Linked DNA regions of Daphnia pulex. The protein of the gene in region 1 purifies or fractionates together with the protein of each later gene. This does not show direct contact. Links are inferred from orthologs where the notes say so. Each region holds a gene or a part of one and is shown in the gene's direction. Other genes may lie near its edges.

Region 1 (12,231 bases):
TAACACCAGAGCAGCAGCACTTTACAGAGATAAAATTTCTGCTTTAGCTGCTGGTAAAACATGGGACATAGAAATATCTGATGCTAGAAATTATCAAACTGCCAATATTTCAAGAAGTTCTTCAGTATACAATGCTGGTTCACAGTAATATATCGTAAACAGTTAAGTATGAGATAAAATAATGTCAGTTTGTCCAATTTAGATTGGAATCTAAAACAAATAGAAACCTTCATAGCAGCTCTTCTACTCCAAATTTTGATGCAGATTTGCATCAGCAACCTGAATCATCATTTGGATCAGCTGGTGGATACCAAAATTTTAAAGATCAAAAAGAAGCATTTTTTTCCATGAAACAACTAGAAAATTGTGGACGGCCTGAGTAAGTACGAGTTTTGCAGATTTATCTTGTTGATTAGTTTTATGAGAAGCGTAATTTTTATCTTCATTTCTTAGCAATCTCCCGCCATCTCAAGGTATTCAACTATAAGCTGTATGATGTACAACTAGAATTATCTATTCCTGACCTATTTTTGTTTTTCAAGGGGGAAAATATTCAGGTTTTGGAAATTCTGCATATGTCCCACCAAGAAATTCATCTACCGAAGTTTATGATTCGCTTGCCACTGTAATTGTTGTGTTTACTCTATCTTATGAATATTTAATAATTCCCAATTCTTTAGGGTTGGTCAATGTTTTCTGTTGGAGCGTCGAAACTAGCTGAAAGTGCTCTAAAATTCGGTGAAATTGCTTCTCAGAAAGTTGTCCAGGTCTCGGAAACTGTGGGAGAAAAAGTAATGTACCTTAAATGAACTTTAATTTTTTGTGCATTTGTGTTGCCGTTTAGGAAAGCCGCTTGAGGGTTTGTTTACCTTTCAATCATCCAATGTTAAACATGAATTTTGTTGGACTGTTCTATTTCTTATTTTAAGTAACCATGTTCACATTGACTATTTATTTCCAGTATTTTTTTAATGTTAACGAGTTTTTAATCCCTGACGTGATAGAAGTGAGGACTTCATTTAAGACTTTTTTTTTCGTCATGCATAGGTAAAAGAAGGGAGATTATTGGACGATGTCGCGTCGTCGGTAACGAGTGTTGCTACTAAGGTCTGTACGTTTAAAAGTTTTTTTTGTTAATGTATAATTCGTGTACAATATTAGGTAGTAAAGTTCACGTAAAAGGTGTTATTGTTATTGTTAGAAATATATTTTTTCTTTGCATTGGTGCAGGTTACTGAGATTAGTAGGAAAGGATGGGCGAATGTTACTTCCGCTCGCAGTGATTACGATGAACCTCCCAGAGTGTCAGGGGAAAGATCTTCGCTTCTATCTGGAAGCACCAGTGGAGGATATGCACCATTGTCTGGTGGATGGTGAGGAATATATATTTCATTAATAGCATTTTTAATTAATATAATGAATCAATCATTCTTTTACAGTTCTCCCATCTACCAAGACAATTTGATGTCACCAGCTTCTTCTGTAAGTCAGGGGTTTAAGGGACATAGTGTCAATGAATATTCTCAAAGTGGTCAAGGTGAAGATTCAGGTGAATGGGTCTGGTCAAACGCTGCAAGTAATAACGATAGAAGTGAAAGTAAAAACGCTACTAAGACATCTCGTAACTCATCTGAAAATGGTGACAATCTTTTAATTGATTTTGGTGACAAAAAGAAAACAAATGCTGCTAAGAAGACTTCCTCTCCTGCTGTCACTGCAGTTAAAACCAAAACTGCTGAAGAAGAAGCATGGGATATGCTTAACAGCTGATTTGTTCATTTAAAACTTGCATTTTTTCCCTTGCTATTTTACCATTCATTGTCTCAAAAGATGCTTTCCAATGTTTCTTTTTTGATTGTTAGGTTCTCTGTAAGTTTACCATTCACTTAATATTATGGGACTGTCAAGATTGTACCATCTAGGCAAAATATGTCTTCAATCCAAAGTGAAAAAAAAAAATATATTGCTTCTGGAAGGAAAACACAAATTTATTGAACATATCTTCCTATTTCATGAAGACTTATTGCTAAAATAAAGTTTCATAGCTTCAAGTGCTCGACGCCGATGCGATATGGAGTTTTTAATTGTTTTCTCCATTTCAGCGTAAGTTAAAGCAAATCCAGTTGGCAGGAAACAAGCCTGACCAAATGTAGAAAAAAGCAATTAAAGAATAAATATATATTACATAATTTAACATTTTCAGCTCACATCCCAACCAAAATCCTGTGGGCCCCTTGGAGTTACTATTACACCTTCTGTACGCCCACTGAAAATATGGATTTCCTCCCCAACTCCTTCAGAGTAAGCAAATAAGCACAATGCATATGCAGATTTATCTTCCCATCTGGACAAAAGGTCTGTTAGACCAGCAGGTCCAATTTTAGCAAGGAACCATTTGACATATGGTCCTATAAAAAAAAAAAATATATTATGAAAACAAAACGTTCGTTCTTTGAAGCCGTTAGGCCGTTCTTGAGGCCGTCGGGCTGTTCTTGAGGCCGTCAGGCCCATTTTGCCATTTGGGCATATGCCCCTATTATATGCCTGGCAAAATGGGCCTGACTGCCTCAAGAACAAAGGTGAATATTAATATATTCATATAGTATAATATATTACATCATAATGACAAATTGTCCTATCAAAAACAATATTAGTCATAATGAATGAAAATAGGAAAACTTAAACTAGCCTTTATTTATGTACCTGGCAACCCTTGAAGGGCATTGAAGCAAAGACATGTATCTTCCACAAGAGTTGGCCCATTAATCAATTTTAAGGCAGCAAGACATTTTTCTTTCACAATATATTCTGGGTTCTCCCCTTGGTATTCTGGCAAATCTATGTTTTGTCTTACCACCTTTAACATGCAATTAAAATCATTGAACACATTTGTTAGTACATGATCTACCCACAAAACTTTTGACATAAAACAATACATTAATTAAAGAGTTGGATCCTAGAATGGCTGTTACTTCTTCTAATTTCTTTATATTTCCGGTGACGAAAGTGATCGGTCTCACAGACATGTTATCAATTGTCACTTTTGTCAGCCAAAATATGGCCAAATCAGACCGCCGTGTTGGGAAAATGAAGCCGATTTTACTTTCTTTTCTTGTCCTCCATTTCTCTTCCTCCAAGTAAAGCCACGCAAAGTCGGAAACCATCTAGTTGTCAAAAAAATAAACTTTTCGTCGGTAACGTAAAATTTAAAATATCATATTTTCGTTGTTTTAAATTAAGCGCCAAGAGACAAGAGGGGCATGTCGCCACACTGGTACTACCTCTGCTGGTTCCACAATGCGTAGAATAGCAAAATGCATAGAATAATTTCAAATTTCCAGAGTCCTACTCCTACAGTCCTATTACTTTCAATACAAATACTCAAATATACAATACATTTTAAGACATGCCATGCCATGCCCATTTTAACTAAACCCACCCTCCTTGACAAAGAAAAAAAATTGGGAAAAAGAGAAAAAATATTTCATTTGTTTATTTCATTTGTTACTATCGAATAGTTGATTCGTGACGAATAATATGAAATAAATCTTTCACTATCGTTTTCTTTCATTATCGGAAAGGGCTATAAAAGATTCATATTCCGTTTCCGTATTACTGAGCACACCCACTAGCGTGCTGTGTGCACGGGTCTGGCACGGGTTGGGTTTACTACTAAAATAGTAAAATGGGAATTGTTTCAAAAAATTACGCTAAAGGACTACATAAAAAATCGCCAAATATAATTCCCATTCTCTCTCTTTACCGCGGTCCAGTGCAGCACTGTGTCACTGTGTCAAGAGTTTTGTTGGTTTTTTCGAAGTGATTTGCAAGTCGCAAGTTTTTGCTAGTTTTTTTTTTTAATTTCGGTTGGTTTCTGATTTTACTTTCTGGGACATTAAGAATTTTTCACGATGATTTATTAAATGGAACATTGGAGCGCGGGCGTCCCTAAACTGCGAAAGCGAAACGCGAAACGCGAAACGCCTAAAATGCGAAACAGCTGTGCGAAACGGACCAAAATTTTGGAACCGTTTCGCGGGACCAAATGCCGGAGGGCATACTAAAGAGCGAAACATCTTGCGAAACAAATAGTTTTCCTTTTCCCCACAGAGGTCCAAATTGACGGAGATTGCCGCCATTTTTCATTGTCTCCCGCTATGATGAGGCATTAAAGGAGGAAGGGGGGCAATCAAATTCGATTTCTTCGCCACTACCCCTGTATGTTTTAATGCGCATTTTACGATTATTAAACTAATGAAAGACATAGAGCAGCACGATATGGTGATATTTTTAAATAATAAAATATTAGGTAATGGCCCAGGGATTATACATTACATTAAATAATTTTAATCAACCAGTAGATACGTGCACAAAGAAATAATCGGTCATAACAGTATGAGTGCCTTATATCAAGCTAAAAATCAAAGCTACCATGTTCCAAATCAAGCTAAAATTTAATCAACTAAAACTTCCCTTAAAATTAAGAATGTTAATCTGATTGATACTGATACATGGAAACGAGAAGTTCCATAAATTTTTTTATACCAATCTTCTAATTAAAAACACCTATTGCATATTGCATTCAAGGTATTCCGTATTCATAGTCAACACACAAATAGACCAGCCATAAGGTGCGCGAAACTCGAAGTCTCGAAAATTTGAAACTCTTAACAATTTTTTTGTTGACGGCGTCCATTGTCGTCTGCTACCAAGACGTTTGCACTGCGACGTTTCGCAAACACCGATTTCGCAGTTTAGTACGGACCCAAAGACTAAAATGCGAAACAGGGTCCCAACTTTTGGGTCCGTTTCGCACAGCTGTTTCGCATTTTAGGCGTTTCGCGTTTCGCGTTTCGCTTTCGCAGTTTAGGGACGCCCTTGGAGCGCTGTCGTCTGCTGACTGCTCTGACTCTGTCTGTACTCTCTGACTCTCTACACATGGACTACTCTAACTAATAACTATACATCAGCTTCTGTTCTGATGATCTGACACGCTCTTGCGACGATTGTAGTCATTTTTTTAAAGTTGCACTAGTCTGAGGTTCCATATTATAAATATTCATTGAAATATGGTTGTTTCGATAGGTTTTGAAGGTAGTGCAAATAAATTGGGTATTGGAATAATTCAAGATGGAATTGTTTTAGCAAATCCCAGGAGAACATTTATTACACCACCTGGAGAAGGTTTCATTACATCAAAAGTTCTAAACACGAAAAATAATGCGTATTGTTTTTTTTTAACTTATGACATTTATTATAGGTTTTAAACCTGTTGATACTGCAATTCATCATCAGTCAAATATTGTCCTCTTACTGAAAGAAGCTTTGGATGAAGCTAAGGTTTGATACATTTTAATTAGACTGTGAGAAACTCGTATTTCACTTCCAAAAAAATAAATCATTTATAATTCAGATTCATCCAGAAGAAATTGATGTGGTGTGTTACACCAAAGGACCTGGCTTAGGAGCTCCTTTGGTGTCTGTAGCTGTGTTTGCAAGAACAATTTCACAATTATGGAGAAAGCCAATTATTGGTGTCAATCATTGCATCGGGCGTACTTAATTCTTAAATTTTATATTGCTAATTTTAGTTGGACTCAAATATCATTCCATTTATTGCAGACATAGAAATGGCAAGATTAATCACAAGCGCAAAAAATCCTATTGTTCTCTATGTTAGTGGAGGGAATACTCAAATTATTGCATACTCCCAGAAACGTTATAGAATATTTGGGGAAACAATAGACATTGCAGTTGGGAATTGCTTGGATAGATTTGCCAGAATTCTTAAATTGTCAAATTATCCAAGCCCTGGGCACAATATTGAGCAGTTGGCAAAAAATGGGAAAATTTATGTCCCATTGCCATACATTGTCAAAGGGATGGACATGTCTTTTTCTGGAGTCTTGACACACATTGAAGATTTTGCTGCAACTTTACAAGAATATTCTGTGGAAGATCTATGTTTTTCACTGCAAGAAACTGTTTTTGCTATGGTACACATGCCAAAATCATTGCAACTAAAATTACATTTAATTTCCAATTGAATACTTCCGTTTCTTTTTTATGTACATTTATAGCTTGTTGAAACAACCGAGAGAGCAATGGCGCATTGTGGATCGCAAGAAGTGTTGATTTGCGGTGGCGTTGGATGTAGGTTTCATTTTCTTTATATTATTCTTGTCATCTAAGGATTTGTTTTTAGGTAATCTTCGACTTCAAGAAATGATGTCTGAAATGTGCAAGGAACGAGGAGCTAAGGTTTGTTGAATCATTGTGTAATTTTATCACAACAAATTTTGTTCATGGCTTTTCTGTTTTCTTTTAAGGTTTTTGCAACGGATGAAAGATTTTGTATAGACAACGGGGCCATGATAGCTCATGCCGGAGCAGAAATGTTTAGAGTTGGTGCCGTCACCTCTTGGAAGAACACATTTTGCACGCAACGATATAGAACAGATGAAGTGGAGGTAAATTGGAGAGATGAACAATAATAACTTTTAAAATGGCTAAATAAACTAGCTGCGTTAATCAAAGACAAAGTTATGCCCATTTTGCACGCAACGATATAGAATAGATGAAGTGGAGGTAAACTGGAGATGAATAATAAAACAATAATAACTTTAAAAATGCCTAAACAAACTAGCTGCGTTAATCAAAGTTTATGGTATGCTCGGCATGTCGACATGACACCACCCTACTATATCCCCCACCTCTACCAGAACATTGGCCATCAGGGTGTCCGACATTCAGGCCTTAACGTTCAGGACTGAATGCCGACCAAATTTGTGCCCAAATGTTTTCTTTCCAAGTCATTCAGGCCCACTTTGTTATATTAGCTACATCTAAAATATTTGTTGAAATTACGGGTATGGTATTCAATCAGGTAAGAGGACAGAAAAGAAAAGTCAACAAAAACATACGCCGTTGACTCTCCACGAGTATTCGACGCTGAATGAAAAGGCGATCAACTGATCAAGGTTATGTTTACACGACGGCAGTTAGGCCTACAACCACATCCTTTTCGCTGATTTCATGTTGGAGGAAATTGTGGCGTCATTTTGAGGTTTGGCGTTCAACATCCAAAATCAAGGGGATCGCAACTCAAATTTGCTTTTTATTTTGTTAGTATACTTTTTTCCTTGCTTTTTATTCCTCTTTTACTTTTGAGATAGGCTTTCCTTCAAGCGAAAATAAAAGGGTATGTAGGGTAAGAGTAAGAGTAGGGATGGGGAGGAGGGTAGGGCTGTGGCCCGGGCCATGAAAACCCGGGCCACTGTTCGGGTTAAAGAAAAAAAAGAACCCAAAAAATATCAACCCACCGAGGCAATTTTTGTACGGGGCGGGCGACGGGTTGAACCCGCGGGTCCTCGGGCCAACCCGAGTGGTGGCGCCATCTAGTAGTCACATAGAGAAGCTTGTTATTCAATATGCCTGAGGCCTCGAGAAAGACCTAAAAATATTGCCGCCAAATGCTCAACGAGAATTTCGTAAAAGTAGGATAAAAGAAGTGGTAGAAAAGAGCGTTCAGGGGTGTTCAGAAGACATCATTGACGTGTCACTGTTGGAAGAAAATAATTAAGAAATTTAGGAAATTTTTTAAAGTTTGTAAAAAAAAAGTGTGTTTGACCCAATTTTTACCCGGGCCGTGACCCGGACGGTAAGTTTCTTGTGATTCGTGGGGCGACCCGGGGCGGACCCATTTACGCTGTTGGCCCAACCCGCTCAAACCCGTGTTTAAAAAAACCATCTAGGTAACCCATGTAAAAAAAACCGTCCAAATACCTCCGGGCCACAGCCCTAGAGGAGGGTTAGTAGTCGTTCGCGTGCGACCTTCTTTTAGCCTGTATTGTAAATTTCATTTTTGTTTTCCTTTTTTCACTTTTCTTTGCTTTTCTTCCCTTTTTATTGTCGTAAATTTGATTTGCGAACATCGGGACAGGAAGGGTGAACAAAAAGAGAAGAGTCATCGAGATGATGAAATGTGAAACATGAATTTCGACATTTTCCCGGGCCGGCGGAAATCAATCTTCTTCTGGTTCGTCCATGGTCATCTGCTTGATGAGTTGATTCGCCTTTGCTGCAGTTCGACGAACGGGACGTACTGATGGGCTGGATCTGTTCCAGCGAAGAATCGATAGGTTGCTGGATATCAATAGTTTCGGTTGAGTCCGAAACCTCCAAGTTCGGAATTGGTCGGCTGGTTTTTTTGGAAGCTGTCCGGATTTCAGCTTCTCTGACGTAGCCATCATTTTTTTTAAATTTAGTTTTCAATTACCGCCAACTTCCAATGATGACGAGGAGACTCATCGTGTAGGGGAACAACGTAGCCAATCTTGACGATTTCTTCGTGATGACATAAGCGCCACATTCGAATTTGTCGCGTTGCCAGAGATGACCATCGACAGCAAAGAATGATGAGACACGAATTGACGAAAGGCGAGTAGGAAACAATGAGCTAAAAGATCCTCAACCAATTCAAGATGAATTATTCGGGTGCTGGTGCACGTGATTAAAAAAATATAAGCCTTTTGAGCATCTTTTGGAGAAAGACTTCGAATTTTGTAGGCACCGGTGTAATCGACTCCAACAACGCTGAAAGTGGGGGTATCGCTAACTCGGAATGCTGTTAGCGGAGCGTGATTTTGGGCTCTTTAGGGTTTCACACTCACTCGACGACAAGTTGCGCAGCTGCATAAAATGGATCGTACAAGTTGGTTGATGGATGGAATCCAATACCGTTGACGGAGACTGGAACAGGTGGCGTCGACGCCGAAGTGGAACATCCGTTTGTGATGATAAAGAATTATCAAAGGAGTCAAGTCGCAGGATTTTGGAAGAAGAAACGGATGCTTTGCACTGGATTTGATTCTAGAGTGCTGGAGACGGCCTTTACAGCAAATGATATCGTCGTCGTTGATAAAAAGATCGTGTTGAGACACAAAAGCTGAAGAATTAAATTTCCGATTTTTTTATGTAAAAAAAAATAATTACAAAAATCGGAAATTTAATTCTGATTACTTTTTGTTAGAAGTGTTTTTCAAAAATAATGCATACAACCCCTGCTATTAAACAAAATCATCGACGGGTAGTCAGCTGTTCCACAGAAGCTTATGGGGAAACGGCTAAAAACTGCCTCTCTACCTCATTGTGCTGCCAACTGGCGGGCGGCTTCCACTCCTCGGACCACTATCCCTTACAGCGCGGGAAAGGACTGCTTTCTCCTCTATACTCCTCCCTGGATTAACAATGGAGCGACTCTTGATTTGGAGAGACCGAAGGTGAAACGATCCAGGTTGCAAAAATAAGCTATGGCTCCAAACACGTGTGAATTGGCGTCCACGAAGAGATGCAAATTCTGAAGGTCGTAGTGTCGTCCAAGATAACAGCGGAAGACGACTCGATGATAATTGTCAACGTCAGTTGCGATTCTACTAAAACGTTCACGGAACTTTTGAGGAAGTGGATCGTCCCAGTCGAACTTCTCTTTCGAGAGCTCTTGGTTTAGAATTTTTGTTGCGATTGTGAGAGGAGCGAAGAATCCCATGGGATCGAAAACTCTGGAAATGCCACTGTGAGGAATATCACGCTTTGTTGTTGTAGCGTGGCTGAAGGTGGAAAACCAGAACGGGAAGGAATAGCGAGTCGGTATAGAACGATCCCAGTTTAGACCCAGTATCTTGGAGCTGGTGGAAGGATCGGCTACACCATCTTCAACAGCACGGACATTGATAGCTTGATCACTGGAACTCCAAGATTAAGATTCAGTCCGGCTTTGTTGAGAATGGAATTTGACACAGCATATCTGCTTCCTCCGTTGAGTAACATCCTGAAATAAGATTTTCGAAATAGATGTTGAGATCCATATCAACTGCTTGGGCGACGGCAAAGACTGTAAGTGATGTTTGATGACTGATAGGAGAATAAATGGAGAACAGCTGGCTCCGAACGGAATGACTTTGAAGTTTGAAGCGATACCCTTTAGCTCTGCATCGGAATCTCTGATATCTCTGGTCTACATAAAGCGGATGAAATCACGGTCCGACACGTGCAGGAAGACTTTAGAAAGGCTTTTTCGATGTCCGCGGAAAGACCGACTCAATGAACACGAAAACGTAGTAGAATCTCCAACATGTCGTACTGAAGAGGTGGTCCTGTTTCAAGGCAATCATTTAGACTGACGCCTGCTGTTGCCTTACAAGAAAAGTCGTACACTATCCGAAGCGGTGTGATCGCTGAATCTTTTTCGATGGCAAAGTGAGGGATATAGTGACAACCACGTTTGTAAATTTCTCCCGGCGGGAACTTTTCGATAAAACCTCGATTCAACTGGTCACTGATGATATTTTGGTAGATGGCCAGCTGACTTGGGTTCTTACACACCCGCGCTTGATGTTGAGTTAAATTAACAAATACAAACTGCTGTTTCTTCTCGATAACTTTTATTCTTGATTTACTTCCTTTACGACATTAAACAGCGTGGCGAGAAATGCGCACACATAGAAAGATAAGAGAATTCGTCTGATACCAGACACAGGGGTTTTTGGAAGGGAGGAGAAAAAGACAGTTAAAGCAGAGTTGCCAGAAGGATGAAACGAGGGCTGGAGAAAAAGGTTTCTTCAACACTTGATGGTTCCGATGGTTCGACGATGGCAAACTTGATAATTTGGGGAAATGTTAGGATGTTCCAATTTCCAAGGAAGCTTTGCAGCATACTGATTGCCACTGAACTCGATACATTGACTTTGGTAGATGTTAGTCGTTGTGTCACTTTCCAACTCTGGTTGAATCCCAAGCCCTTTAACCGTCGAAAATTTAGACAGGTCAAAATTTTCTATGGCCGAAACATGAAGCGATAAGACAGAATCGGTTGATTCGGTTTTTATGGAAGACGCAGATAATGGACCGGAGAGAAGATAACCAATAGCCGTTGGACCTGCGCTTCGAATAACTTTGTTGCTAACAACCGGTAGAAATTGGCACCAATGAGGATGTCACCGTCGAAAGATGTGGCTTCAGATGGTAGATGGGCCAAATGAAGTCCGTTGAGATGAGGAAGAGAAGCTGCCAAATTAAGATGCGGATCATCCAGTGGGCTTACAAGATGATCAATAATGATGGCTTTGATTTAGATTGAAGAACCGCTGAGGCCAACAATGAAAAACTGAGTTACGTCATAGTATTCGACGCCTGTAGGATTCATAGAGAAACCGGATAAGAGCAAACTTTCGCGCCACAACGGTTTTAAGCGCAATAATTTAGCCAGGCGTGAAGTAACGAAGGTGCACTGCGATCCCTCATCGATGAGTAAGTTGGCGTGTTCTTTAACAAGTTTTTTCTTGCAGTCCTAATTCAGTAAGTAGCCATTTTAACCAGACAGCTTCTCGTGTTGATTCGCAGGCCGCAATGTACTCGGATTAGGTCGTTGAGAGACTTGGGCTTTTCTGTCGCTTGCAGCATCTGGCGACGGGTCCTTCGTGGAGTAGAAATACATATCCAGTGATTGAGCTTCGTGTTTCAACATCTCCAGCATTGTCCACATCTGTAAAACCTGTAATTGAACTACTGGAGCTTCCACTGAAACAAAGACCGTAATTTCGGGTTCCTGATAAATACGATATGATTCGTTTGACTCCTTCCCAGTAGGCAGGTCCAGGATTGTGACTGAATCTAGCGACTTGGTTGGTTGCGAAAGCAATGTGTGGTTGAGTGGTGGATGTCAGATACATAAGGCAACCGTCGGTTTCTTGGTTGGGGGTAGTTTGCATCGACAGTTCTTCTTCTTTGTTGGTTGGTGCCATAGCTGGTGCAGTCTGCCCCTCAGATCAGATGGAATTATTTTTGGATGGCATGACTCCATTTGAAATTTGCTCAGTATTTTAGTTATGAAATCAGTTTGAGTGATTAAGATTTTGCGGTGTTCTCGTATTCTAGTGATTTTGAGCCCAGCGAATCAATCTGCTGCCATTGTTCGCATTTCAAAGTGGTTCTTCAGATGTTGAAGAATTGTGTTGACTGTTGTTGGGTTGTTGCTGCATACCAATCCATCGTCGACCCAGTTGGCAATATACGTAATCTCCTCTTGTTGACGGCGGAAGTAGACACATGGATCGGTTGTACTGCAGGTTAAGCGAAATTCACCAGAAATTTGTTGAATTGCTGATATCACATGCGCGGAGCCTGCTTAAGTCCATAGATCAACTTCTTCAGCAGACACACATTTGATTTGTT
Region 2 (11,538 bases), on another chromosome or scaffold:
TAAAAAATATTGTGCATACACTTCTTTCTCGGGAAATATGATACTACTGGTTTCTTCAGTTCATTGAACGTGGGAGACTTGGATGGATGCATAACTACCCAAAACGCCAGGGGGCTTTAGTCGCTACAAAAGCTAACAGAGTTGAGCTTTCCTGCCCAACTCGATCCTTCGTGAGTAAGCAGCTCAAGGCGAAACGAGGAAAACAAGGTTGAACAGGGTATAAAAACAAGTTGGGGAAGAAAATCTTTAAAACAATTTTCACTATTGCCTCTTTCTAGCTCTTTAATATGCAATGGTTTTCCCCAGACATTTACAATGCAGATAACCAAAGACCATGGTGATACTATGACGAAAATGGACAAAGAATTATTCGATTGACGAACAGCATGAATAAAGAATTCTATTATCGCATAAATATTAACTGCCGATAGAACGAGTCGAAATAGCGGGTCTGTCAATTGATAACCAAAGGACAGTTGAATTTGCAAAAGCTTTTTATGGATTTTGTTTAAACGAACAATTTAATGCTGGGCCATTATACTTGCCTATCGCCCATTTCGTTTAAACAAGAAAATTTGTCATATCAATTTATTTGTCATTATTTTAATTGAGATACGATATTATTTGAAAATAAAAGCTTAAATTCCTTGGTTGACGACTGGTTCAATATCGTGAAAACGACTTTCAGTACACCCAAAAGAATGTGTTAAAGAAGAATCAGAATGTTCACTATTGCCTGGGGAAGTAGAGATTGACATACAATTACTATACACGAACAGGGTAAGAGACGAGACGACGCTCAAGGTTTGGGAAAATCGTTAGTCCTTGAGAAACGACTGTTACGTCGATTAGTGTACAGTAGCATTACAGAGAAGACAGAACGACGAATGATCTAGCAGGCAAGTTGCAAATACAAATGACAAGATTGCTTTTATCTGATTCGTGATAAAACTATCCTTCAAATAATGGTGCCTGCTTTATCTAAATACATCAACTTTCGATTTTCCTCGGTTTCCCTAATAATTTAATTTTTCCATTCGCAAGCAGGCATTTTCCTCTTGGGCAGCCAAGAGAAAATCTTTTTGGGTTATGGACGTGACGCGTGCATGAACTACCTAATCGAAACAACTAATCAAAATTTCAGTCGACGACTATATACGAAAGCATTCATAATTTTCGTTCCAAAAGATATTGCGCATTTCGCTTTGGCAGATTTATAGTTCCCTATGGCAAAAACTGGACGACTTTAGGCGTCTGTTCTAACTTTAACATTATTTTGGCACTAGCCGTCTGCTGTAGCCTTCTTTTTGTAAATTCTACACGTATATAACGAATAATTCGATCCGATTGTGATATTTTAATCAATTAATTCGTTTAGAAAGTTTATCTTAGTTGCGCAACGTACCCTGGCATGAACCAAGCTAAAGATACATAAAACATTTCTTTACACTGATGGTACGACGCATGATTACATAATGTATACTAAATTAAGTAGATAATATCTACTTTTCGACAAAATAGTTACCAAGTGTAGTTACTAGTCTCTGATCCAGTGTTGCCCAGTTGGGTTACCCAAATTCCTTCCAACTCAATTTTGGCACCAGGTGGCAGCAGTGGTAGTAGACTTTCCGGTCGTCATTCTCATGACGATTTTCTGTGTCCTTGAAAACGCTGTTTGTTAGTGAAGGCCTGTCTTTTTGTTGCATAAAGAGAGGGAAGATTCTGTGTTGACTGCACCAAAAAGAAAAGTGAAAGAGGTTTTATCAGTAACATTTGATCGAGTCTTTTCTCATTTATCCAGTGTGTGAACTAAGTGAATTGAGAAATGTCGCGTTTTCTCAGAAACACAGGCGGGAAAAAGTGAGTTACCAAATCGATGGCGTCGTTGACTGGTTGAGTTTCTTAGCTATTTGAGTGTGTCGTGAAGAGTTCTGAGAGGCCACGCTATGTGATGTCTACTACTTCCCTGACATCTACTAATTTTGCCCCAAATTCAAATTTTCTGAAATTTTGGTGAATCGCCACAATTGCTTTGGTAATGAAATTTAGATTCATTTCCTTTCCTATCGATAAAATTTCGTAATTGACGTGGGATGTCGTTGAATATGGGGATTTTAGGGCGGATAACATTTTTTAAAGGGATTTGTGCAACCAGAAATTAAGATTGTGTTCTTCATTTCAGATTTAAGTGAAAGTGTACTGAACAACTGTTTGAAAAATGGAGAATAAAAAAGAAGACAACAGTAAACAAGATGTGATGGTCTCAAACCTCCCATTGCTGTTTTCTGATGGCAAACCTACATCCATAACATCCATGTCTGTGGTATGTATACTTTTTCCGGGTTTTTGTTTTCGGCCAATAATCATATTTTTTTTTTGCTTTTTCAGGAGGACCTGCAGTACTTCATACCATTTTTGATTAAATGCATACTGGGGTGTGAACCAACTGGCTGGACCAGATATACAAAATTCAAGTGGTGGCCACCTGATGTTCCTTGGTCACCTATAATTCTTACAAAGAAATATCAGACCGAAGTAAGAATTTTCACAAGAGTAAATAAACAATTTATAATTGCAAACCCTCCTTCTTTTGTTTCGCAGAATTGGAGATCCAAACTTACTACTCTAGTGAGAAATTGTTATAATTATAATGGATGTACATATTTGTTGCAATTTTCTGCAAAGTTGCAAACACTCACTGGAGGTTACAAGTTTGAAGACAATTGGGATGGAACAACTTCAATGTATGATAGCACAAATGGAAAGCTACTGGTTACTTTTCAGAATGAAAATATGGTGAGCTTTGTTAATGAATGGGACCGAGTGTTTGTGTTAACAACTTCGTTCTTTTTAGAATTATGACAAGGGTTTCAGACAGCAATCTAGTGCCTCTCGCCCTATGTTACTTCCCCGATTAAACTCTCCGACTAGTCCAACAAAGCTAAATGCTGGAGCCTCAAACACAATGGAAATAGAAGCTCCAACTGCAGCAAAAATGGTTGAACCACCAATTAATGACATCTATTTGTGTGATTATTGTGGTGCAGATTTCAGCTCACTTTCGGCCATTAAGGTACTCTATGCATTATGATTTGTCTCGGTAACTTATTCTTGAACATATTCTCAAATATTGAAGGCCCATGAAGCAAAATGTATGGCTGATAAAGCTTTGGAAGCCCAATCCAATAACATTAACACTTTCACTGAACTAGAAACACGGGACATGGATGAAGTAAACATTTTTATTTTACTATTAACTTTTGTTAGATATTTAAATTTTTTACCTTTCTGTCTCTTAGGCACAATTTCTGTGGTATTTGTCCTTGTCCAGTCGTAGTCAAACTTTACCACCGCCTAATGTTACTCCTGCTAAAATTCGTCCGGTTGTAAGAAGGACTTGTACACTCAGTGATAAGAGGTGAATCCTTAATATTTTATCTGATAACCTTTGATGAAGAAAATGCAACAATCATTATTTTATTACAGATTTACGACAATTCCCTTTTCGTCAAATCTTGGACAAAGCTTCTTCAAGGCAATTAGACTAACACCAACAGCTTCAGAACTCTTGATCAATCGATACGAGCGTTTTTGTATAGCAAAACCAATATTGCTCCGATCAGACCCTCTTACAGGAGAACACACGCAACCACCTATCCCATCAGCAACTACCTCTAATCGCTTTCGTCCAGTTGTGTTTAAAAGAAAAGACGAGTGGGCGCATTCTTACAGCTTCAATAAAGCAGACCGAAGAGAGCGCATGGAGACTATCGCGACGGGTAAACTACTTGAACTAATATTCCATGTGTTTGGTATTAACAATTAATTTTTATTGAAGGATTGAATAAACGCGCCCGTCAGTTACTTCAACGATGTCAAGGTATTCATGTGGTGATGGTTAGGTTAAAACCGGAAGAGATAGATATGTGGACTCGTCCGAAACCTAAACCAAAGCATCCGCCACATTTACTACAGCCGTGGCTACAGCGAAGCATTGCAAATTTACCTGCTAGTTGCACCATCAGCTTGGCTCCTGTTGATTCGCAAAAAACGTTTCTTCGAAACCAACAAGCTGCCTCACCATCATCAACAATTCGCCAAGTATCAAGAAACCATATTTCCGGGAAATCTCAAGCAAGAGCTCCACCAGGGCTTCTTCCTCTGATCACCGGCACTTGGTCTATGCAACCTGTGCAACCTGTCAAACCCAAGCCCACGAAAAACCAGTTCATATTGCCTGATCTGATTCCAGTTATTAACAGACATTCGAAGACGCGTTCCGTTGATCCAGTCATAATCCAAATGCCTTCCGTCTCCTCGCCAAGATCGGTTGCTGCCTCACCACGTACTCAAATGACTTCGAGCGGTAGTATTACAGATATAGTCGATCTTTGTTCTTCAGAAGACGAAGTCGACGATGGCGACCAGCGACAAGGCAGCAAAGATGTGCTGTCTAATTCTCTTGTCTTACCACCTGGTATCTCTATCACCAAAATTAAGAAAACGTCTAGTGGACCTCAGTGCCACCTTCCAAATTCACGGCCGAATGAAACGGCATCTGAAAAGAATAACAACCGATCACGAAGCGTTGCTCAGTGGCTGGCATCAGCAGCTACCGCGCCCCTACCAGTTTTGACCTTCATGGGCCACCACCAGCAAGCTATAAAAAAAGATCTTGCTAGGAGTGGTGCACTTGATGTTTGTTCAGCTGATTCGTCCCTACCCATTGTAACACCATTGAAACTAGCGAAGCTTCCTGCTGAGAAAAGGGAACAGATGAAGCAGTCTCTGTTGAAAATTCAAAAAAAGGAGAAAAAATCACCAACGTCAAACAGTGACTCTAGCAGTCCACCAACACAAATCAAGACGATTCAAACTACAAGCGATGTAACAGATCCACTTCAGCTCTCTCCATTGCCGAGAAGTTCCGTCAGCCCTAAAAAGGAATTTTCTCCACCCCTCAGTGACGAGTGCGAGGAACTGAAACACAAAGGATTAAGTGGCCTTCTTTTCTCAAACCAGCGGAATACTCGACGAAAAAGAGAAAAAGAACCCGATTTTCATAGTTCTGACGAAGAGGATTCACTATCTGATGGTCCTAGCAAAAAAGCTCGTTTATTGGATCAATCCTCGTCATCGAATTGTTTGGCACCTCAAGCGAAATTAATCCGTGGCAGCGAAAATTATTCTTCGGTTATCGAGGTTGATGTAGGAGGACCAGATAACGACATGTTTTCACGAGCAAGTTCGTTTGGATCACTAACTCCAGAGAGTAGACTTCCACGGAAAAGACAGGAATTATTTCGCTTGTTAAACGATGAATGCAAAGAATTAAGACGTAAAGGGCTGGAAGATTTATCTTTTGAAGCGAATTCCAATCATCGTGTCACTCGTTGTCGTACAAAATCCCAACCACTAATGTCCGGAAAACGGTAAAATCTCTTCCTTTTCTACTTTATTTTTGCCTTCCTCTACGACTTCGAGCAAATGCGTGCTCTTCTCCGGAAACGTTGTTTAGTATTCAACTTCTTTCGTAATTGTGCACCCAGAATCTATGCGTATATTTTACTCGCTTCTTGTCCTTCCTATCTTTTTCATTCGATGGCATTTCTAAATCGTTTCGAATGTCATTCATTCATATTATGTTCTCAACCTGGAAGATCACTGCTTTTGTTTTATGTACATAACGACGTTACATCGCCATCCGTTTAGCTGAAGGATTCGTACCTTATTGATTTGTTGTATAAAAGTATTCTAAATTTTCGATGCGATTTACGATGTTGATGTCTCGAAACCAACAAGCTTTGGTCGTTGTTGAGCAGAGGTACTATTGGTATCATTTTCTCCCCGTGTTTTGAACAAGTATTTTGAAAGTCGCGCAAACTCAGAAACCGAGACGTGTGATTGTAACGGTATTTTTAGTTTAAATCATAACCATTCTCTCCTTCTGGTTACTTGAAATAAATTCTTTCTTATTTCCAGTTAGGATATGATTGTTCTGTTCTGAAACCTTATAGATTTCACAATTCGGGTTTGCAAATTGGTTTTCGTTAAAAACACTGTAGCTCCCTAAATCCTTAATGTAATTTAATAACTCGTGTCTTTTGGGATCTTTGGTAAGTTAAAGATGTCATAATTCCACATTAATGTGTAAACAATGTATGAAGTTTCGAATTATCAGACGAATTCGATTATCTTGGCTGCTTCTGAAATCTGAATAAATTCTGTTAGTTAGACCAAACAAAATCGATGAAGATATTGAAAGATATTAATGATAAAATGAGCGGGTAGAGGGAGCAAAAAAAGGAATTGGTAAAATCCCTTGCTTTATCCTATTTTAACAAATTTGTGTGAAAAGAAGTGCGTATTATTTAATGGAAAAAATATTCATTGCCACCAGGTAGCGTGTCAACACCAGATGGCACTGACCGCAGTCGACAGACGGATTGCTTATCTATATGTATGTTCGACAAAAACATTAAAACGTAGTCTGCTACTGCTTGTAGGATCATGCATGGTTCGTGGTAACAGAGCAAGCAATTTGAATCTTGTGAAATGAATATGAAGGAGAGAAATTTCGCCTTGATTAAGCAGGGGTCCGAAGCCAAAATATATAGTGGCACTTTTCATGGAAAACCGTGCATTATCAAGGAAAGGTTTGTGAAGCGTTACAGACACCCACATCTTGACCGGGAAATTTCAACTCAAAGACTAAAAAGCGAAGTCCGCTCACTTGTTCGTTGTCGCCTAGCAGGTAATGTTTTAAAGAATTAACTATAGTTTTCTATTAAGTAATATCATAGTAATCATCACAACTAATTGTTTGATTAGGTGTCCATGCTCCAACTGTGTATTGTGTTAACGTGGAGCTAAATCATATAATGATGGAGCACATTACTGATGGTGTGACAGTTAAAGACTTCATTAAGGATCCTGTGAATCAAAATAGTCTTGAGACATTGGTTTCTACAATTGGAAGTACAATTGGTTTGTTGCATTCCCAGAACATCATCCATGGGGATTTAACTACTTCTAATATGCTGATTCGAGGTGGTGATATTTCTAAAATCACAGTAATTGATTTTGGTCTCAGCTTCATTGACCATTCTCCAGAAGATAAGGGAGTTGATCTGTATGTTCTTGAAAGAGCTATGCTAAGTACTCACCCTAACTCTGAAAATTTATTTGAAATAATTCTTAAGTATTATGCAAAGACAAATAAGAAAGATGGAAAAGAAACTCTAAAAAAACTTGATGAAATTCGTCTTCGTGGTAGAAAGCGTTCGATGGCTGGATAAACGACGAGATCTCGAAATAAAATGCCACAGGATCAGAATTAATGTTTTGTATTTGTTACTTATTATAATAAATCTCTGCATTAATTTGATAAATTTTGAGCCCAAATTGTGTCATCACATTCTATATTTTACAGCCTAGACTGAGCTCCACCAGCAGCAACAATATTTTCTCCAGTTATAAAGGAAGCATCATCTGAGCATAAAAACGAAGCCAATCCACCCATGTCGTCTGGTTGTCCAATCCTGAATTTTGTTAACTCTTGTAAATGAATTGAATATAGCTAAAAATGTACAGGCAAAATATCGTACCTTTGCAGGGGTATGCCTTCCAGGACTTTGTTGCGCACATCGTCATTGTCTACCAACTATCGGGAAAAAATGTAAATAGTTAGCTATAACACCGCTTTCGTAAGGAATTATTTAATGTGGTAATGATACCATTGCGCTGAATTTTGTTTGGATTACGCCAGGAGCAATGCAATTCACGCGAATGCCACTATGTCCTACTTCTTGGGCCAGCACCTTTGTTAATCCCAGTAGAGCTGTTTTACTTACAGAGTAAGCTCCTAGAGCCTTTGAAGGTAAGATATCACAAATAAATTTTGGTATTAGTAAAAATCCAATCAATGATAATAAGATATGCTGTTTACAGAAAATGGTTGAAACCCAGCAATTGAAGAAATAAATATTATAGAACCTCTCCCTCTCTTTTCCATATGTGGAACAGCAGATTTGGCAAGTAAAAATGCTGTTTTGACATTAATATCAAAAATTTTATCCCAGGCATCTTCAGGGCACTGTTTAAAAAGAGTAATTAAGTTTATACTTAGTTGCTAAGTTGTGTATAAACCTGATTTAACTTACACTCAATACTGGTCCAAATACAGGATTTACTGCAGCATTACTTATCAAAATATCCAATCCTCCAAACTTAGAAACAGTCTGTATAAATAGGAAAATAATTACATAAATGAATGAAATGTGATAACAACTTTTAACTTATTTCAAAGTACATCTTCTATCAGTTTTTCCCTATCTTCTTTCAATCCAACATGGCAAACCATGCCAGTAACAGTTAGTCCTTCTGTTTTAAGTTTTGCTACAGCAGCATCAACATTTTTCTGTTTTCTACTGCTTACAACAACTTGTGCTCCGTCTGAAGCTAGTCGCTTGGCGACAGCAAACCCAATTCTAAAAACAAAAATGGTAATTCAGATTAACGCTGATAAAAGGTTATAGATGTTATTGTTATTATACTCACCCATCCGTTGACGCAGTAACAATTGCAATTCTTCCATCTAATTTTTTGGCGGTCGAACTCATTTTCAATGTCGTCGTAGTAAAAAGAAAGCGTCTAGTTAGCAGGCCAGCACTTTTCAGTATCATAACGATAACAACAGATATAGCAATATATATATAGCAATATCTTCTCAATCAGCCAAAACAAGTGTATGGACTTTTATCCGAATGACAACACTGACAAGAGCTGTCAATTTCAAGTGGGAGGAGCTTACGAAATTTTACATTCAGTAGCCAATCATGAATGCTAGTACTTGGCTTATTTATCACACCTGAAAATTAAAATGTCGACAGGAACTAGTTTTATACTGATAGTTTTGTATATTGGCTAATTAATCTCATTAGAGTTTTCAAGAAAAAGAAGTTAATTTTACAATGAATTTTAAATTCAGTTAACCAAAACTATACAAAAGGAATCGTTTATGTTCTTTCCTGTCACGAATCAAAACAATTTCACAGCAAGCATCAAAACTAAAAAGCATCATCATGAGTGTAATCTGCAACAGTTGACTGAAGTCCTAGTTCTTTAAGTCTCTTCAATCTAATTTTCTCCTTTGCTTGCTTCTCATCTTGCTCCAACCTTTGGGCTTCAAGGATCTCCTCTACACCAACTTGCTTAAGGGGGATTCTTTCTTCTTTCTCCAAATCCTGAATTCAGAAAAGGGACTGTTATAATGTCTGCAATCACAATCTGTCAAAATTTAACATTACGATTTCTCCCAAAAGAGCAACATTTTCTCCTCTGACAATAAATACTCCTCGTGGAATGTCACCATACTCTTTACCAACATGAATCCTCTCAATAGTTCGATGCAAAACCAAGTTAGCAAATTGATCAACACTACGGAGGTATCCTATCAAAGTTCGGCCATCACGTAGAACGACTATAACCTTTTCTAAAAATAATCAAGCATTAGTTCATGACATCTACATGGTTCAATTCAGAAAAATTTACTGTCTAAATCTTCAAGAAGAGTCGCCGTCCCCGGTAATGAAGCGACATTCATTTTCGAAATTTCATCAGCCTATAAAACAAAACTCGTGCTTTTAGTGCAGTTGGGTCAAGAGTGCATGCGTACGCGTTTCTCAAATCGTCTGCAATCGTCTACGAATTTTAAATTGTAGATGTAGAAGCCTTGAAAATTGAGTCATGCAGCCAGTGACCCCTAGGCCAACGTTGAATTGATTGCGTTTCCATGATATTATTCGAATTCCTTTTTTTAAATATTAATCGACCTTTTAAAATCCCGGAAGTAAATTCTTTTCAATATTTTTTAAAAGAACCAAAGAAAGAACGTTTAATTTGCAAGAGCGTGAAGTAGGGATGTTGTTTAGCACTCATGTTTACACATTTCTGATAGTTTCGTCTGCAGGTAAATTTGAAACGATAGAGACGAAATCACGAAAGTTGCAAAGTTCACTGAAGAAAAATGATTTAGTCTACAATATATGTGCAATTTTTGCATGCTATATTTTAAAAAAGAAAAGTATTCAAATCTAAAATGAAAAAAAGAAATTTGCTTGTTTTTTCCTGGCTCATTTTGTTGTATGCAAATGGGGTGATGTACTTTCTTCAAGGGTTTTTGTTAACTCGCCGAGAAATTCATCTAAAGTCCGCAGCGTTTGACGGTGTTTCTTGTTGTTTGGAATCAAAATACGAGAAAATCATCATTCTTATCATTGATGCTCTTCGCTATGACTTTCTTGTTTACAACAATTCCACAAACAAGAGTAGTATACCAATCTACCAAAATAATCTTCCTGTTGTGGAAAAGTTATTGAAGGATAATCATGGTGTGCTGTATCAGGTATGTTTACAAAATAAGCATTAGGGGATAGATGAATGAGTTCTAATCTAATTTTGTGTACAGTTTGTTGCAGATCCTCCCACTTCTACAATGCAACGTTTAAAGGGCATTACCACTGGATCTTTACCTACTTTTATTGATGTTGGGAGCAATTTTGCAAGTGATGAGCTCAAAGAAGACAATATCCTCAGTCAGATTACTTCGTCAGGATTAAATATTACATTTATGGGTGACGACACTTGGTTGCAGTTGTTCCCAAGGTCTTTTCAACGTGCATTTCCTTTCCCATCCTTTGACGTGTGGGACATTCATACTGTTGACCGAGGAGTGGAACAACACTTGGTGCCAGAAATGATGAAACCCGATTGGAATTTACTGATTGCCCACTGTCTAGGAGTTGACCACACTGGTCACCGTTACGGTCCAGAGCATCCTGTCATGCCCCTCAAGTTAAAGGAGATGAACTCTTTAATCGAAAAAATCGTAAGCAACATGAATCCTCAAACACTACTCCTAGTCATGGGTGACCACGGAATGACACGAAGCGGTGATCACGGTGGTGACAGTCCAGATGAAGTCAACGCCGGTTTTTTTGCATACAGCCCAGGATGGAATATCAAATTCAACACCTCCAGGAAAACATCAATCAACCAAGTGGATCTTGTACCAACCCTGTCAGTACTGCTGGGCATACCAATTCCGTATTCAAATTTAGGTTCTGTAATATTAGACCTTGTTTTTCCCGAGCAGCTGTGGAGAGAAACTCACCCCAGTGAAGAGCACATTATGAAAATAGCACAGTCATATTTCTCCGAAGCTCTTTATTTGAATACCAAGCAAATCTGGCGTTATTTGGAAACCTATAGCCGTGATTCGTCATTTCCGAAGAAAGAATTCGAACATCTCAGCAGTCAGTTTGACCGTGCTGTCCATCTTTTCGAACGGTTACAAATGAAACAGTGTTCCAATTCGTGTACCTCCGATTCAAGTTGTTGCGCTCCGGACGAAAAACTCGAAGAATTCATTCAAGCAGCGCAGATTTTCCTCACTGAAGCTAAAGAAATATGCCGTTCCATGTGGGCTCGTTTCGATCTAACGTCCATTTCCATTGGATTGACAATTTTTACTTGCTC

The links.
Region 2: the proteins of probable tRNA N6-adenosine threonylcarbamoyltransferase (region 1) and EKC/KEOPS complex subunit TP53RK-like purify together in Homo sapiens (affinity purification with mass spectrometry; 5 studies listed by BioGRID and IntAct, counting the BioPlex papers as one, with this or other methods). This does not show direct contact. The link is inferred for Daphnia pulex from reciprocal best matches to the Homo sapiens genes OSGEP and TP53RK.

The regions. Positions count from the first base shown.
Region 1 is NC_060019.1:5,069,933-5,082,163, forward strand, and holds probable tRNA N6-adenosine threonylcarbamoyltransferase, read left to right. Parts: upstream 1-4,885; 5' UTR 4,886-5,069; coding exon 5,070-5,184; intron 5,185-5,260; coding exon 5,261-5,340; intron 5,341-5,413; coding exon 5,414-5,555; intron 5,556-5,622; coding exon 5,623-5,996; intron 5,997-6,080; coding exon 6,081-6,153; intron 6,154-6,205; coding exon 6,206-6,261; intron 6,262-6,329; coding exon 6,330-6,494; 3' UTR 6,495-6,536; downstream 6,537-12,231. Other genes in the region: ADP-ribosylation factor GTPase-activating protein 1-like, read left to right, coding at 1-144, 203-379, 454-473, 543-625, 681-791, 1,048-1,107, 1,231-1,373, 1,440-1,770; inosine triphosphate pyrophosphatase-like, read right to left, coding at 2,011-2,139, 2,209-2,408, 2,704-2,857, 2,937-3,164, 3,282-3,320. UniProt on the Homo sapiens protein: Component of the EKC/KEOPS complex that is required for the formation of a threonylcarbamoyl group on adenosine at position 37 (t(6)A37) in tRNAs that read codons beginning with adenine.
Region 2 is NC_060017.1:7,076,602-7,088,139, forward strand, and holds EKC/KEOPS complex subunit TP53RK-like, read left to right. Parts: upstream 1-6,432; 5' UTR 6,433-6,555; coding exon 6,556-6,754; intron 6,755-6,831; coding exon 6,832-7,298; 3' UTR 7,299-7,340; downstream 7,341-11,538. Other genes in the region: uncharacterized protein LOC124196883, read left to right, coding at 2,219-2,323, 2,389-2,535, 2,602-2,796, 2,855-3,073, 3,137-3,232, 3,300-3,418, 3,487-3,779, 3,839-5,436; dehydrogenase/reductase SDR family member 4-like, read right to left, coding at 7,427-7,541, 7,608-7,663, 7,737-7,871, 7,949-8,095, 8,163-8,240, 8,312-8,489, 8,560-8,684; U6 snRNA-associated Sm-like protein LSm1, read right to left, coding at 9,069-9,245, 9,309-9,493, 9,553-9,604; GPI ethanolamine phosphate transferase 3-like, read left to right, coding at 10,100-10,405, 10,469-11,538.